Linked DNA regions of Saccharomyces cerevisiae S288C. The gene in region 4 interacts genetically with the main gene of each other region. Each region holds a gene or a part of one and is shown on either strand. Other genes may lie near its edges. The genes, in order: SRP102, PDH1, ADP1 and HUL4.

Evidence for each region.
Region 1: mutations in HUL4 (region 4) and SRP102 together harm fitness less than expected from each alone (positive genetic interaction), as found in Saccharomyces cerevisiae (one large-scale study listed by BioGRID).
Region 2: mutations in HUL4 (region 4) and PDH1 together harm fitness more than expected from each alone (negative genetic interaction), as found in Saccharomyces cerevisiae (one large-scale study listed by BioGRID).
Region 3: mutations in HUL4 (region 4) and ADP1 together harm fitness more than expected from each alone (negative genetic interaction), as found in Saccharomyces cerevisiae (one large-scale study listed by BioGRID).

The regions. Positions count from the first base shown.
Region 1 is NC_001143.9:159,825-162,858, reverse strand, and holds SRP102 (Signal recognition particle receptor subunit beta), read right to left. Parts: upstream 1,259-3,034; coding exon 524-1,258; downstream 1-523. Other genes in the region: tRNA methyltransferase RSM22, read left to right, coding at 1,517-3,034. UniProt on the Saccharomyces cerevisiae protein: Component of the signal recognition particle (SRP) complex receptor (SR). Ensures, in conjunction with the SRP complex, the correct targeting of the nascent secretory proteins to the endoplasmic reticulum membrane system.
Region 2 is NC_001148.4:556,771-560,486, reverse strand, and holds PDH1 (putative 2-methylcitrate dehydratase), read right to left. Parts: upstream 2,103-3,716; coding exon 552-2,102; downstream 1-551. Other genes in the region: citrate (Si)-synthase CIT3, read right to left, coding at 2,650-3,716. UniProt on the Saccharomyces cerevisiae protein: Catalyzes the stereospecific dehydration of (2S,3S)-2-methylcitrate (2-MC) to yield the cis isomer of 2-methyl-aconitate.
Region 3 is NC_001135.5:133,224-138,466, forward strand, and holds ADP1 (putative ATP-dependent permease ADP1), read right to left. Parts: upstream 3,651-5,243; coding exon 501-3,650; downstream 1-500. Other genes in the region: PGK1 (phosphoglycerate kinase), read left to right, coding at 4,523-5,243.
Region 4 is NC_001142.9:500,205-505,054, forward strand, and holds HUL4 (putative E3 ubiquitin-protein ligase HUL4), read right to left. Parts: upstream 3,188-4,850; coding exon 509-3,187; downstream 1-508. Other genes in the region: DNA-dependent ATPase RAD26, read left to right, coding at 1-408; MLO127 (Mlo127p), read left to right, coding at 3,732-4,850.

The DNA.
Region 1 (3,034 bases), on a different chromosome or scaffold from region 4:
ATGACGATAGTTGATTTTTATTCCAACACGCGGACATATTAAATGTACGGTGGCTAGCAGGCCTCCTATTCACCATATTTAATCTTCATTAGTTGTACCTTTGACCATTGACAATCAACACAATAATTATGAACAAAATTTCCTGGTACAATGATTATGGTAAAGAAGAAAAAAAACGCTGCTTGCTATAACCAAATCAGAAAATATAATACTATAATAAAAATACATCAAACTACTTATCTTCAATTATTTTCCCGCATAATTAGATCATATAACTGCTGGAACATCAAACAAATATTAGCTCGCGTGGCGTAATGGCAACGCGTCTGACTTCTAATCAGAAGATTATGGGTTCGACCCCCATCGTGAGTGTTTTTTACACCAGCAGTCAAAAAGAGTTACTTTTGATATTGCATGTGTCGATGATGCAACTATGTCTTTCTCTGCGTACGGAATCTAGAGCTATGTTAAATGCTTGTTTTTAAACTATCTATCGTTCATCTAGTTATAAATTATAATTATATTACAGTTTTTCATCTATCCATTCGCGCCATTGGGAAATTTTTCTTTTATTAATACTGCCCTCAAAAGCAACTACAGATGCTTCCAAATTTGCAAATTTGAACCCGTCGGTAGACTGTAAAACGTCTAGTGTATTCTCTGCATAATCTTCTTCGTTAATTTTTCTTTCAACCTCGTTCAACGATTTTTTCCTTCTTTCAATAACCTTTTGAATTTCGCTTTCTAAAGCATCCTTGATCTTTGATGGTGGTCTTGCAGTGAACAATTCGCTTTTATTGCATGCAATTAAGATATCAATACCATTTTCGCAACTAGATTCAGTAATTGATAATATGTCTACCAAGAACTCAGCTGTTGTTGTTAATTTCTTAGGATCAACTGTTGAGTCTACCATAAATATCAACCCTTTAACAAATTTGGCTCTTGTTTTCAAATAATCTGAGAGTTTATAACGCAACTTGACATGGCCTGGGAAGTCCACTAACGTGACGCCGGAACCATCGTAATCCGCTGCTGATAACGGTTCTTGAGAAACAACAGTTGGTCTTACTGAATCTGTGGTTAGCAGCGTAAGCAAGCTCGTTTTTCCAGAATTTTGAGGACCTGCAATGATAATAGATGGTTGATAACTTTTTTGCTTGATCCCTGTCTTGGAGGATGCCTTTTGCACTGCTATTAGCGCTATGGTTGTCCCTATCACCAATAAACAGGCAATAATAAGTGTATTACTAAGCATTCTGATCCCGTGTGCTATTATGCTAATAAACAGCAGTGGTAAAGTAATAATTAATTGATCAATACAGACACTTAAAGCCTAACTATTTCTTTTCTTCTCATCTTTTTCAAGTTTAATGATGGTTCATATTTGTTTTCCATATCTCTTATTTTTTTCCGCCACTAGATGAAAAAAGTGAATGGTGAAAAATTAAGAACAGTATTGCAGCAAAACCTCTGACACTTTAGGACATAAGGTGGCCCGTCTAGTTTAGGTAAAATGATGAAAAGATGCTTCAGTATCCTACCACAAAATGTCCGGTTCAGCTCAAAGTTCACAAGTTTAAACTTACCAAAGTTAGATTTGGCGGATTTTATAGACTCAAATAAAAGAGGAATCAATGTTCTTCCGTCGTACAGAGATGAAACCGCTAGCACCACTCAAGCAACTAATTCTAAAGAGCTCAGATTACTTTCCAAAACACTTCAGGGCCAGTCGTACCGGGACCAATTAGAGTTGAATCCTGATGTAAGCAAAGCAATCAACAATAATATTATGGCTGTACATATTCCCAATAATCTTAGAAGGGTTGCTACAAATTATTACAAAGAGATTCAGGAACCAAATTCATTACATCGTCCCTGTAGAACCAAAATGGAAGTGGATGCACATATAGCGTCCATTTTTTTACAAAATTATGGTTCTATTTTCCAAAGTCTGAAAGAATTACAAAAAAGGGTAGGTCCTGATAATTTTAAACCTCAAAGAATCCTTGATGTTGGATATGGCCCAGCGACTGGTATAGTTGCCTTGAATGATATTTTAGGCCCAAATTATAGACCTGATCTAAAAGATGCCGTTATTTTAGGGAATGCGGAGATGCAAGAAAGAGCCAAAATCATTTTGAGCAGACAACTTAACGAGGTGGTCGATACTGTAGAAGAAAATGTGTCTACAGAGAAAGAGCAGGAAACAGATAGACGGAACAAAAACTTTCAAGAGGATGAACATATTGGAGAAGTGATGACAAAAAAGATAAACATTATGACTAACTTGCGGTCTTCTATTCCCGCATCTAAGGAATATGACCTCATAATATTAACGCATCAACTTCTTCATGACGGGAATCAATTTCCAATTCAGGTGGATGAAAATATTGAGCACTACTTAAATATTCTAGCGCCTGGAGGCCACATTGTTATTATTGAACGAGGCAACCCAATGGGATTCGAGATTATAGCCAGGGCAAGGCAAATTACGCTTAGACCTGAAAACTTTCCAGATGAATTCGGAAAAATACCAAGACCTTGGTCTAGGGGAGTAACAGTCAGAGGCAAAAAAGATGCTGAATTAGGAAACATTTCCAGTAATTATTTTCTGAAGGTGATTGCACCTTGTCCACATCAAAGGAAATGTCCCTTACAGGTTGGAAATCCTAACTTTTATACTCATAAAGAGGGTAAAGACTTAAAGTTCTGCAATTTTCAAAAAAGCATCAAGCGTCCCAAATTCAGTATAGAGTTAAAGAAGGGTAAACTTCTCGCTACTTCATGGGATGGTTCTCAAGGAAATGCGTCGAGGCTAAAAGGAACGGGAAGAAGAAATGGTCGTGACTATGAAATTTTAAACTACTCCTATTTAATATTCGAGAGATCACATAAGGACGAAAATACGTTGAAAGAAATTAAGAAATTACGGAATGAAAATGTGAACGGCAAATATGACATTGGATCACTGGGTGATGACACGCAAAATTCCTGGCCTAGAATTATCAATGATCCTGTCAAACGTAAAGGT
Region 2 (3,716 bases), on a different chromosome or scaffold from region 4:
CCAACAGATATATTAGTAATATGAACACTACTAAATGGATGATATTTTAGAATTTTTATTCCAACACTTACAATAATACTAGCCCAAAGATGATAACTGACTCTGATTCCAACACTGTGGATTGAGTTGATAACACCCATTTATCAACTAATCCTGTATTGAGTTTTTAGCTAAGGTGGTTAGAGCATAGAAATTGAGCGGATTTAGCTCAGTTGGGAGAGCGCCAGACTGAAGAAAAAACTTCGGTCAAGTTATCTGGAGGTCCTGTGTTCGATCCACAGAATTCGCATTTCTATTTTTGTATTTTTCCATGAATTGACGAACTCTTGCAAGTTGAAGAAAGAAAAATAAATAGAGCCAATTATTTAATTTTTTAATAGTTATTATTATGTAGATAAATACCAGTAAAATTAAGCCAGCATAATTAGAAAACCGCATGTTCTTTGGTTTAATTATGTTTTGAAAGTGATTTCTTGTTTATCGAAACGGCGCCTTTTGTCTTTAAAAATTGAAGTAGGTACCATGCCGTTCGCTCTTAAAGAGCCAACCATTCATCCCTCAGTAAACAAATCCATGTATTTGTCGATTTGCATATTCAAAAAGTTTGTTTTTGAACTTACCTTCATTATAAGGTCGACTTTATCAGGGCTCTCTACAAAATGTTCGCGCAGATGCCTTTGAAATTTATTCATTAGTAATGGTATTCCTTCCTCTCGTCTAAATTTGTGACCAACAGGGTACTCTACAAAAATTTCATCCAACTGCGTCCCATCGTTCAGCTCTATGAGAAGAGCGTTTCCTATCGACCTTTTATCAGGATCGTGATAGTTTTGAGTGAGATGAGTATCTTCGATACAGTACATTTTCGATCTCAAGTTATCGATCTCAGGATTTCTTGCGACCTCATCCGAATAATCAGTAGCTGTGAGATTACCAGTAATCAGCGGAACCGCGATCATGTACTGGATACAATGATCCCTATCGGCATAATTATACAGAGGACCGGATTTATCTATAATCCTCATTGCCGCCTCTTGAGTTCTAATTCTGATCGATTTAATATCTTTAAAAGTTTTCCCTTGTTTGGCAAGAATCCTATATGCTTTTACAGCAGCTTCTACAGCAGTTTGCGCATGGAATTCGGCAGGAAATGATATCTTGAACAGAACGTTTTCCATGACGTAGGAATCATATTTTGATCTTTGTTGGAATGAAAAAGGTTTACCCTTAAATAAAACGTCATAAAATCCCCAGGTTCTAGCTGTTAATACTGAAGGTATCGTGCCAACATTAGCATTTTTGACTAAATAAGCCAAGTTTACAGCCCTCGAAACTGCATCTCCCGCCGCCCACGACTTTCTAGATCCAGTATTTGGGGCATGACGGTAAGTACGCAGTGATTGACCGTCTACAAATGCTTGTGACAATGCTTCAATAGTTTGTTCCTGGCTCAGGCCCAGCATCTTCGAGACAACACCAGCCGTTGCTACTTTCACGAGTACCACATGATCTAAACCTACTTTATTGAAAGAATTTTCGAGCGCTATAATACCTTGGATTTCATGCGCTTTAATCATTGCCTCTAATACGTCTTTAACAAGAAACTGTTTTCCATTCTTTCCGTGGGTAGCCTTGTTTAATCTGGACAAGTGATCCGCGACAGCTAAAATTCCCCCAAGGTTATCTGATGGGTGCCCCCACTCGGCAGCTAACCAGCAGTCATTGTAATCTAACCAACGTATTAGAGTACCAATGGCAAAAGCTCCCTTCACTGGATCCATAACGTAAGATGTGCCCAATATTTTTGTTCCACTGGGAACTATTGTTCCTGGCACAATTGGTTTAATAATATTTTGAGCCTGCTTAAATTTCAAAGCCGCCAAGCCACAGCCTAGAGTATCAAGGAAACAGAGTCGTGCTGTATCTAGAGCCAAAGATGATTTTAATGGGGTTTCATGGACATATTTCGCGATGTCCTTCAAAACCTTATCTGGATTTGGTCTTTCATTAGTTTGTATAGACGCTGTACTCAGCGCAGCAAATTTCTTTTTAGGCAAGCATACCTTGATTTTATTATTTTTTAGATTTTTGGCTAAAAACATTCTGTTTGCTCTCGATCATCAGAGAACAGTAGAAAATACCAAAATACTATTTGAGAAAGTCCTAATAAGTTATACATACATTATGGCAGATTTATATACCTTATACACTTTCTTTGGTCATGCTTTCACATTAGTGAAGGTAAACATATGAGGGTAAAAGTTGAATGACTAGAATGTGGAGAAATAAGGTCATCTCAATAAAGTTTGTAAACGGCCCGAGGTCCGACATCGGGGAAGTGGCTACCTATAGACAGCATCATATATCAGAGAGATTGGGGACGAAAAGCGCGATGTGGTAAAAAAATAAGTCAAAACTCCAGAAATAATACAATCAGAGAAAAAAAAAAAAAATAAGAATATATTTTACTAACGAGATTGGAATTGCTGAATAATTTTTTGATAGGTGTGTTAACCGACCATATTTTCCCCTATATGTTTTCATGATGAATATGTATAAATTAGCTATGATTAGACATGCTGTATGGAATTTTATTTATATTTCAATATTGTAATAGCAAACGAAGCATTCTTGTAAATTGGAACTGCGTTACAACTTGTTAACATTGCTTGCTTTGGTAAGTGCTTCCAGACCCTCCAAGTTCAAACTCTTGGGCCTTTCAATTGGTAAACCTAGAATGCGATCCCAAACAAGTTGTGTCAAGGGTCCCATGGCCCTTGAACACCCAAAAATGACGGTAAAGAATAATAATTCCCTGATTCCATAATGATAAAACAAAATCCCCGATGCAGAGTCAACATTGGGAAATGGATTCTTACTCTTTCCGTGTTCCAACAAAACCTTAGGCGCTATTTCTGCCAATTTTTGCATCAACAAAACGTTCTTGTCGTTCTCAAATTCAATAGGCCTCTTTTGCGCAAATTCAAGCATTGCTGTAAATCGAGGATCCGGTTTACGCAAAACTGCGTGCCCATAACCGGGGATCACACGGTTTGAATTCAAAATTTTCCAAAGATAATCTTTGATTTCTTGTTCTCGTGCAATGCTGGAAATATTAGAGTTCATCTCTATGAGAAACCTTACTACTTCTTGTGCTGCTAACCCATGCAAAGGACCCGCTAATCCCATTATTCCAGATGAATAGCTGAGATACGGGTCACTCAACGCACTTCCAACCAAGTGGGTGGTGTGAGCAGAAACATTACCACCTTCATGGTCTACATGTATACCGGTATATAACCGCATCAAGTTTATGAAGTCCAGGGATTGCTGGGAAGTAAGGTTGCATGTATTAGAAGAGTTCGTTCCATTTGTCATGCCGAGCAGGGAACATATGTTTGTACACCAATCCACCTCCTCACTATATTGACCTAATGGGTGTCCCTCATTTGTAATGTTCGAATAAATTCTCCCAGTCAGCAGCGGGAGTGAAGCAATTAAATTTAGCGAATCTTCAAGAGTATCTTTCCAAAATTCCATCTTTCCTATGAGGCCCTTTTGGTAGTTTGTAGCAAAGAGGGATCCTTTGTTCATTGATGCTAAACCAATTGCAAGTTGGGTCATAGGGTGCATATCTTTGGGTAAACTTGACAAAACTTTCTCTGTATAATGTGGCAATTTCCTTCCACGAATAGCCAATTCTTTCCTGAAAGAAG
Region 3 (5,243 bases), on a different chromosome or scaffold from region 4:
CTGTTGTATTGTTATTGCTATTGGACGATATATAAAATGAACCTATAGCAAGATCTCAGGGAAATACGATCCAACCAAGGTGCTTTATATACAGCTTGGTGTCTCTGACAGGTTGGAGTACAGAGGAGAAGGCGCCATAGCCGCCCAACCCGCGATAACGAAAAAAAGCTGTAAGAAAATGCAGTCTTCCCCAACGTTTGTTACCCCAACAATACCGAAATAGCCGCCCAACCGCAAATCTGGCAAAAAATCTTTTCGTATCTCGCTGCAGATGACCTTCCAACCCGCCCCTTTTTGTAGTCACGCCTTTAAGGGCCCTTGTTTGGCTTGCTCACATGGGGCTACACGTAAAAACCGTAGCTTGGAGAACCACTCAGCCGCTCGCCTATTCCACGGAGCTCCGGATCAACGGGCAGTGGACCCTCTCGAAAATAAGGAAAGTTGCGGGGCCAAAAATTATTATTTCTTATGTAAAAGAAGAGACTATATACGACGCCTATCTACTTTTGTTCCACAACTATCCACTTAAGGGCTAGATACCCCATTATTAAAAACACCACATTAAACAGAGCCAGGATCTTGATGTCAAATACAAGGTTTTGGACAACAAATCCAAATGTGCTCAAGATAGTAGCGCCTGGAACTTCAATATTTAAGCCGTACTTTCTCTCTTTCAGCATCAATGTTTTGACCTCATTGATCAATAAAGATTCGTAGGCGTAGTAAAACACAGAGAAGTTTTTCAGGTACTTGAAGGCCACGTTTGTAATATTCTTAGTATTGATAAATAGTCCGCTAAACAGTAGTGAGCCCAAAAGCACCAGCACGCTTAATATTATGGAGTTATTCAAGTCTTCAAAAATTATGCCGATGGTTAGGATTTCCAACGATATCCCAAGGTTAAACAGTATAAGGATTCCAATACATTTAAAAAAAGCATTGTCTTTCATGTTTAAACCAGTCATTGGGTAAACAATCAATGACAAGAGTATAGGTGGTACAACACGTAGCGGGACCACTTCGCTCATTATCTTACTAATGTAGTATGCAAGTGGCGAGTAATAGTTATTGGATCTTTCTTTTATGAAAATGATCCTTTCCAGAGCGAACGAGCTGAGACCTGTGAATGTAACAAAACCGAAGTACGTTAGTATAAAGAAGAACAGCCCCATTCTGTTCTGAAAACCGCTGATATCATTGGAGACGTTGTAATATAGTGTTCCCAAGAATAAACTCAATAGGATCGTCAGTAAATAATTACCCAATAATAGTTTAGGGTTTCTGTACATGTTTTTAAAACTTCTTGAATTCAATATCGATAACTGTTGCAGAAAACCAGCAGATTGTTGACCTGTGGGTAAATCTCCATTCAAAACGTTACTTTCCTCATCACCTTCGCTTAAAACTTCCTCGATCTCCTGTGAAAGCTCTGCATAATAGACGCTATCTTTATATTTATCGTGTAGTAGTTTGGTATTTAAGTCAATCTCAGTAGCACCTCGCCTTCCATCTGTTCCCTCTACATCTTCTTCATCTCTGAGTAAAGATCTGATCTCATCTCTATGAGCTGCAAGATGAGCCCACTCTCTCTGTGTTGTACCATCACTGCTAGTAAATGTTGTTTGGTGTATCGTATTATCAATATCGTTAGTATCCGTACCAGCTTCTAAATCGGAAATGTTTCTGATTCTTCTCCTTTTCCCCTGAGGACCGGCTTCAAAAGTAATATCAATCAAATAATCAGCAATATTATAGTTGTCCGGACAGATATATCCCTCATTTCTCAAAAATTCTGACACTTTTTTGGCATTTCCGGAATAGACCATCTCACCTTTACTTAACAGGACCAATTTATCGAATAAATAAAATATATTTGATCTTGGCTGATGAATAGATAGCACCAATGTCCTGTTATAGTCGCTGGATAACCTTACCAAACATTCAATAACATTATTGGCATTACTAGCATCTAAACCAGATGTAGGTTCATCCAAAAATAAAACCAATGGAGATGTCACTAATTCACATGCAATGGAAACTCGGCGTTTTTCACCTCCACTAATACCACGATCAAATTCATTACCAATAATACGATCTTTGATATCAATAATTCTTAGTTCTTCCAACACCTTATAAACTCTTGCCTTCTTGGCCTCGAATGACAATGCTTTTGGCAATCTTAACAGCGCACTATTTAATACGGTTTCAAAAACAGTCAAAGTGGGCAGCAAAAAGTCATCTTGATCGACGAACCCGATTATTTTCGAGAAAGATTTACGGTCCATACTAATACCGTTAACTTTTATGGAACCCGAAACGTGACCTGTTTTCCGTTTCATTGCTAGGATATCTAATAAAGTAGTTTTACCCGCACCAGATCCACCCATGATAGCTAATATTTGGCCGGGCTTCACGATACCACTTATTTCATTCAGCACAGTTTCTTCAACACCATCTGAATTTATCGAGGGGACACTATAAGTGATATTTTCAAAACTTAATGTCGCCAGTGTGTCATCTTCATTTTGTAAGAAATTATTCACCGCATCTTCATCTGGCAAACGAATGGGAGACTTTGAGGAACCCAATCCATTTCTGAATAACGGAGATTTAGAAATGTAAAAGGTAGCAAATGTAAAAAGTGCCAGGACCATCACAGCAGTCAATGCCAACACCAATTTCCCTTGCCATGACACTGTTGGATCTTTTGAAGGAGATTTGTAACCTGGAATCTCACTATAATGAACACATTCACCGGATTCACACTTCAAAGTAATATAAGGGTCACCAAACACGGTCAATATCAAATCATTCATAGAAGGCTCACTGAATTTACATTGCCTTGTTTCTAAATCACAGCTGAAATCTCCTGGCCCTTTTATTGTCTCTGTCAGGAAATCCGAGATATCTATAGACCCCTTAGCACCACACAACACAGTGTCGGGAACGCATTTGCATTGAACGTCATTACACTTATAATGGGAGGTATTCTGTTCCAAGTCGTATTCAAAGGCACAATCACTTAAGCCACAATAGAAGCTTTCTAACTGATCTATCCAAAACTGAAAATTACATTCTTGATTAGGTTTATCACAGGCAAATGTAATTTGTGGTATTTTGCCGTTCAAAATCTGTAGAATTTTCTCATTGGTCACATTACAACCTGAAAATACTTTATCTACAATCATACCATTCTTATAACATGTCCCCTTAATACTAGGATCAGGCATGAACGCATCACAGACAAAATCTTCTTGACAAACGTCACAATTGATCCCTCCCCATCCGTTATCACAATGACAGGTGTCATTTTGTGCTCTTATGGGACGATCCTTATTACCGCTTTCATCCGGTGATAGACCGCCACAGAGGGGCAGAGAGCAATCATCACCTGCAAACCCTTCTATACACTCACATCTACCAGTGTACGAATTGCATTCAGAAAACTGTTTGCATTCAAAAATAGGTAGCATACAATTAAAACATGGCGGGCATGTATCATTGCCCTTATCTTGTGCAGTTAGACGCGAATTTTTCGAAGAAGTACCTTCAAAGAATGGGGTCTTATCTTGTTTTGCAAGTACCACTGAGCAGGATAATAATAGAAATGATAATATACTATAGTAGAGATAACGTCGATGACTTCCCATACTGTAATTGCTTTTAGTTGTGTATTTTTAGTGTGCAAGTTTCTGTAAATCGATTAATTTTTTTTTCTTTCCTCTTTTTATTAACCTTAATTTTTATTTTAGATTCCTGACTTCAACTCAAGACGCACAGATATTATAACATCTGCATAATAGGCATTTGCAAGAATTACTCGTGAGTAAGGAAAGAGTGAGGAACTATCGCATACCTGCATTTAAAGATGCCGATTTGGGCGCGAATCCTTTATTTTGGCTTCACCCTCATACTATTATCAGGGCCAGAAAAAGGAAGTGTTTCCCTCCTTCTTGAATTGATGTTACCCTCATAAAGCACGTGGCCTCTTATCGAGAAAGAAATTACCGTCGCTCGTGATTTGTTTGCAAAAAGAACAAAACTGAAAAAACCCAGACACGCTCGACTTCCTGTCTTCCTATTGATTGCAGCTTCCAATTTCGTCACACAACAAGGTCCTAGCGACGGCTCACAGGTTTTGTAACAAGCAATCGAAGGTTCTGGAATGGCGGGAAAGGGTTTAGTACCACATGCTATGATGCCCACTGTGATCTCCAGAGCAAAGTTCGTTCGATCGTACTGTTACTCTCTCTCTTTCAAACAGAATTGTCCGAATCGTGTGACAACAACAGCCTGTTCTCACACACTCTTTTCTTCTAACCAAGGGGGTGGTTTAGTTTAGTAGAACCTCGTGAAACTTACATTTACATATATATAAACTTGCATAAATTGGTCAATGCAAGAAATACATATTTGGTCTTTTCTAATTCGTAGTTTTTCAAGTTCTTAGATGCTTTCTTTTTCTCTTTTTTACAGATCATCAAGGAAGTAATTATCTACTTTTTACAACAAATATAAAACAATGTCTTTATCTTCAAAGTTGTCTGTCCAAGATTTGGACTTGAAGGACAAGCGTGTCTTCATCAGAGTTGACTTCAACGTCCCATTGGACGGTAAGAAGATCACTTCTAACCAAAGAATTGTTGCTGCTTTGCCAACCATCAAGTACGTTTTGGAACACCACCCAAGATACGTTGTCTTGGCTTCTCACTTGGGTAGACCAAACGGTGAAAGAAACGAAAAATACTCTTTGGCTCCAGTTGCTAAGGAATTGCAATCATTGTTGGGTAAGGATGTCACCTTCTTGAACGACTGTGTCGGTCCAGAAGTTGAAGCCGCTGTCAAGGCTTCTGCCCCAGGTTCCGTTATTTTGTTGGAAAACTTGCGTTACCACATCGAAGAAGAAGGTTCCAGAAAGGTCGATGGTCAAAAGGTCAAGGCTTCCAAGGAAGATGTTCAAAAGTTCAGACACGAATTGAGCTCTTTGGCTGATGTTTACATCAACGATGCCTTCGGTACCGCTCACAGAGCTCACTCTTCTATGGTCGGTTTCGACTTGCCACAACGTGCTGCCGGTTTCTTGTTGGAAAAGGAATTGAAGTACTTCGGTAAGGCTTTGGAGAACCCAACCAGACCATTCTTGGCCATCTTAGGTGGTGCCAAGGTTGCTGACAAGATTCAATTGATTGACAACTTGTTGGACAAGGTCGACTCTATCATCATTGGTGGTGGTATGGCTTTCA
Region 4 (4,850 bases):
ACACCTACTTGGACAGGTAGGTTTGGTAAAGCAGGTAAAATTAGAAAGAGAGATCCGTTGAAAAATAAATTAACTGGATCAGCTGCCATTTTAGGCAATATTACAAAATCACAAAAAGAGGCATCCAAGGAAGCTCGCCAAGAAAATTACGACGATGGTATAACCTTCGCAAGATCCAAGGAAATCAATTCCAATACCAAAACGCTAGAAAATATTCGGGCATATTTACAGAAACAGAATAACTTTTTCTCATCTAGTGTTAGCATACTTAACAGCATTGGCGTCAGTCTTTCTGATAAAGAAGACGTTATTAAGGTTAGAGCATTATTAAAAACCATAGCACAGTTTGATAAAGAGCGTAAAGGGTGGGTGCTTGATGAAGAATTTAGGAATAACAATGCTTCATGAAAACTTAGAATGGACAGAGTACCCTTGACGTAACTTTACCCATAGAAATATCTATAAAAAATATGTATGTGTTATGTGTATATGTATATTCTGAAGACTCTTAGCGGAACCCGTAACCTTCAGATTCATTAATTGCCCAAAGTAATTTCAGTTCTAGTTTTTTTTTCGAGGAATAATTCCATAAACATATTTCATTAAAACATGTATGAGCCAATGGCAAATCATCACTATCATGCGACCCTAGCAAGCTAATTTTGAATGGGATAGTAGAGATACCCGTTGCAGGTATACGATCAGATGCCGTTACGAATTGTAATAATTTCTTCTGCAATGGATAGTCCCAACTTTCAATAATTTCCCAAAACCAGCAAACCGCTCTGGAATCATCGGAGAAGCCACCTACATACTTTGTCACGGATCTTAACGATTTGAAATCAAATTTAGTTTGTTCCTCATCACCACACACTAATCTCTCCAGCTCTTCAGAATTAAATAATTTTATAGAATTGCATTCTGCGAAGACCCTTTTAAAACCTGAAACAAATTTATTGTATTGTGGCTCAATGGACTTTTCCAGATAAAATTCTACCCATTTCATGACAAACTCATGCTTGTTACTTTGGGTTATTGGCACATTTCTGCCATTTTCACATAATTCTACCGTTACATACTCTTTGCTCGATTTACTGTCATTTAAAATCCAGTTGTTATTTCGATACGTAGTCTCAAATGTTAAAGAAAAGACGTCTTCGAAATTATCCTCTGTGTAATTGAGCATTTTTATTAAGTTCCTACTTGTCTCCGGAAACAATTCCGAGTAATCTTCAAAACTCAGAGGCTCTGAGCATAGTTTTTTATAAAGCGCCTTTGGAAATTGTAAATCTAATATGGTACTGTTGAAAATCGCCAACCCCATGACAACTCCAAACAAGTAATATAATTCCAGTTGTGAGTTTTTTCCTTTTGATTTGTCAAAATTTGGAGGGTCAATGGCAAACCATGAACGTGAGCTTTCTTTTATGTAAATAAATAAGCCATTCATCGGATTAAACAGCGATTTTGTTAATAAGAAAAACCATTCTTTTCTCAACCCTCCCGCATCAATTCCAGGTTCATTAACAAACTCTATTCTCAGCGATTTTAATAAATCGCCTTGATGTTCCTTGATACATCTCAATGAATCATGAGAAATAACGTCACGCCGTACTTTGATTTTGAAATAAACGTCTACGGATTTGCCTTTATCCAGTGAAATTAAAAAAGCCTGTTCAGCTTCATGTTCCATGATTCTGCGAATTTCATACTCCATAATAGAGATTTTGATGCCGAGTGACAATATAAATGGATACTTACAGAATGAAAAACATTTTTTTGTCGTCGAATTTCCCCACTCTTCAATCAGTTGATTCATTTTTGTCTTTTGAGCTACTCCTCTCCAATGATCGAAATCTTGTTTATAATCTATGAAGTCTAGCGTTATATTGTAAAAGCTTTGAATTGACAACGCTCCACGGCCATTTCTTCTAGTATTGGCTACATAATAGATGAACGTCAATTTTGCTGCAGAGTGAATATGCCAGTCTTCCTCATATTGAAAAAATTTAAATTTCATCTTATTATTGACGGGATGCGTGAAACCACTTCCCTGTTTATCATTTGATTGTGCACTTATTGGTCTAGTACTCAGGAATTCATGGCCAGTAGTGTGATGCCGACGAAGACGAGATCGCATCTCATCTTCAGGCTTCACGTTATTTTTTGCGGTTCTATTTGATAATTCGTTCGACAGTAATCTGGAAAATTGGAAATTGATGTATAAATTTAAAATCTCTACCTGGTATGAAAAATTATCCGTAGGCGTTCGCCGTAATGATTGAATCAATTGTTGAGATGTTTTTGTTGATAGGTTAGACAAGTAGCCAATACATCGTTTGGCCAACTCATAAGACACCGCCCTTATTTGTTGGGTCTCAAACACATTTTTGCTCTTCCGATCTCTAATAAGGCAGGTTCGTATTGTAGGTATATTTAATATAATCAGCAACCAACGATACTGTAATATTTGCAAATTTTCCCCTTTATTGATTGTTATTCTCTTCAGTAGATCGTTACAGCAACACAGCATACTATAATACGGTTTCCTTGTAGGAAGATTTGATAATATACTGTAAAATCTTTGTAAAACTTCATAATTCAGCATCTTTATATTCTTTCCACCATCATGTACCAAGAACGACCTGTTTAAAATGCTAACATCATGAAATCTGTCCAGTAAATACGTTATTACCGGTTGGAAAATCAACCCCTTTCTTTCTTTATCCAGAATCCCAGTCTTCTTAAGCCGCTGCAAATCATCATGGCACCGCCTTACTACCATCTGCAAACCCTCTAATGTGCACGAAATATGCGTACTAGATTCCAAATTACTGTTAATTTCCGGCTCCTTTACAATAACTGTTACTTGGCATGCGCTGCATCGAAATTTCGTTATGGAGGCTGGAAACCGTAGTGGGACACCACAACATAGGCAATTAAGTGAAATTAGACAGGATTTATCTTCTTCCCCTGACACGGATGCCGAAGAGTTCCGCTTATTGCTTTTGCTATTTGAGCAACTTCCGTCCTTTACACTAGCGGCTAAGGACCGTTCCGACGTGCGCCTTCCTGATTTGGGTAACCTGTTCTTAGTATGGGCTACAGAATGTGATAGCAACTCCTTCGACACAGATCCATCTCTACCGTCTTTTTTTGCATTAAGCTTATCAAATAAAGAAACCATTTCCTATTTTACTTTACCTATCAGCCGCAGTATTCGAGAGATATACCTGGTAAATTTCACCAATGCCCTTAAAAATATGTACTTTTCTGCTTAAAGTCGAGAAATGCATGCAAAAACTTGCCCCTATCTAGCAATCCTTCGAATATATTTATCTATCTACCTGTTCCACATGGGCGGTTATACCTGACTCTTCAAAAAATCCTGTAACCTCCATTTTTTTCCTTTATTTGGGGCAATCACAAAAAAAGGGTCCCAGAAAGATATGACCCTACTCCCTTTTTGCCTTATTTAAAAGTGCTAGGAGATACAAGGTTAAAGCTAGACCTCGGTTAACGATGGGTCTTGACACGTAGGCGTTGCTCTCCTCTCCATAATCATAGTAAGTTGAGACAATCGTATACCTCCAAAGGAAGCACTTGTTGGCTTGACAAGAGACTCATGATAGACAGGAACGAGAGTCAGGGTAATTGGATAGTGGAAAGATGAAAGCAAGAGAAACGATGCAAAGAGGAGGCTGCCCAGGGCTTGGCGTATCCAATTTCTCATGCCAGCAGGGAGGATTCGTATAGCGATGACTGACAACATTATAGTAAGTGAGGTTGATGGTCCCCCGGATGTAGTTAAATGTTTTATTAGGGAAGAAGATGGACTCGAAGGACAGAGCCGAGAATTGGTGGTCATAGGACTAGAATATATAGATGTGTTTGAAGGGGTAGAACAAGATGAAGCGCGCAAGAAGTTAAGACTTAGGACTGTCGGATATACAATGGCAGCCTTTTATTTCAAAGATCATACTGCACCTAACCGAAGATTTTATATTCTGTTGAAAGCCACGGGACGGTTGGACTTCGTCAACCTTGATTACAAAATAGTGAAATCTCTGGAAACAGGAATTGATCAGGTAAGATCAGAGCCAAAGTTCATGTTCCAAGATCCACTACGAACAGCTCTGGTTTTTAATTTGTCATGCACTGAAATTTACGAGATTTCTACTGAGGACATTTTTTGTTTGGAAGAAACAGACGTTAAGCTGAGTTATGTGACATCCTCACCGATAGTATCCATAGATGCGTGTATCAATTTCAATGATTTCTTAGATAAGGATGTCTTTACGTTGTCGATTCTCACACGTGCACACAATGAGGTTGCATATAAGTTGGAAGCATGCGTGTGTGTATTCGAGTCTAAACCAGCCAAAGGAACGAAGTGGCAAAGAACTACCAATTTAACATTTGTGGAGGAAGCAACGGTCTCACAAGTACTTCTCAAATCGGTCACCAATATTGGTCATTTTGTTTTTACGCCATGGAAAACTTATTTTATTAAACATGCATTGTCATCGAAACAGACCATTGATGGTAAAACGGTAGACAAAATATACCAAGGGCCTGGTGCCTTTGGGTCTGATAACATGGAAAGAATCGAACTTTTGCAGCCTATTTTAGCGGATACCACATTAAATCATTTAACATTTACATTTATGACGAGTACTGCAATTCTAATAACATGCAGAATGAATGCAATCCTTAGCAGTTTTGAAGACGATACGTATATCTGGGAAAAGGCCTTGTTTGAGAGGCTTCCCATCAATGGTGGTTCCTCACATGATCACTACCTTGCAGCGTTTTTCAATGAGAAGTGTTGGATACTGGTATCCCCAAAG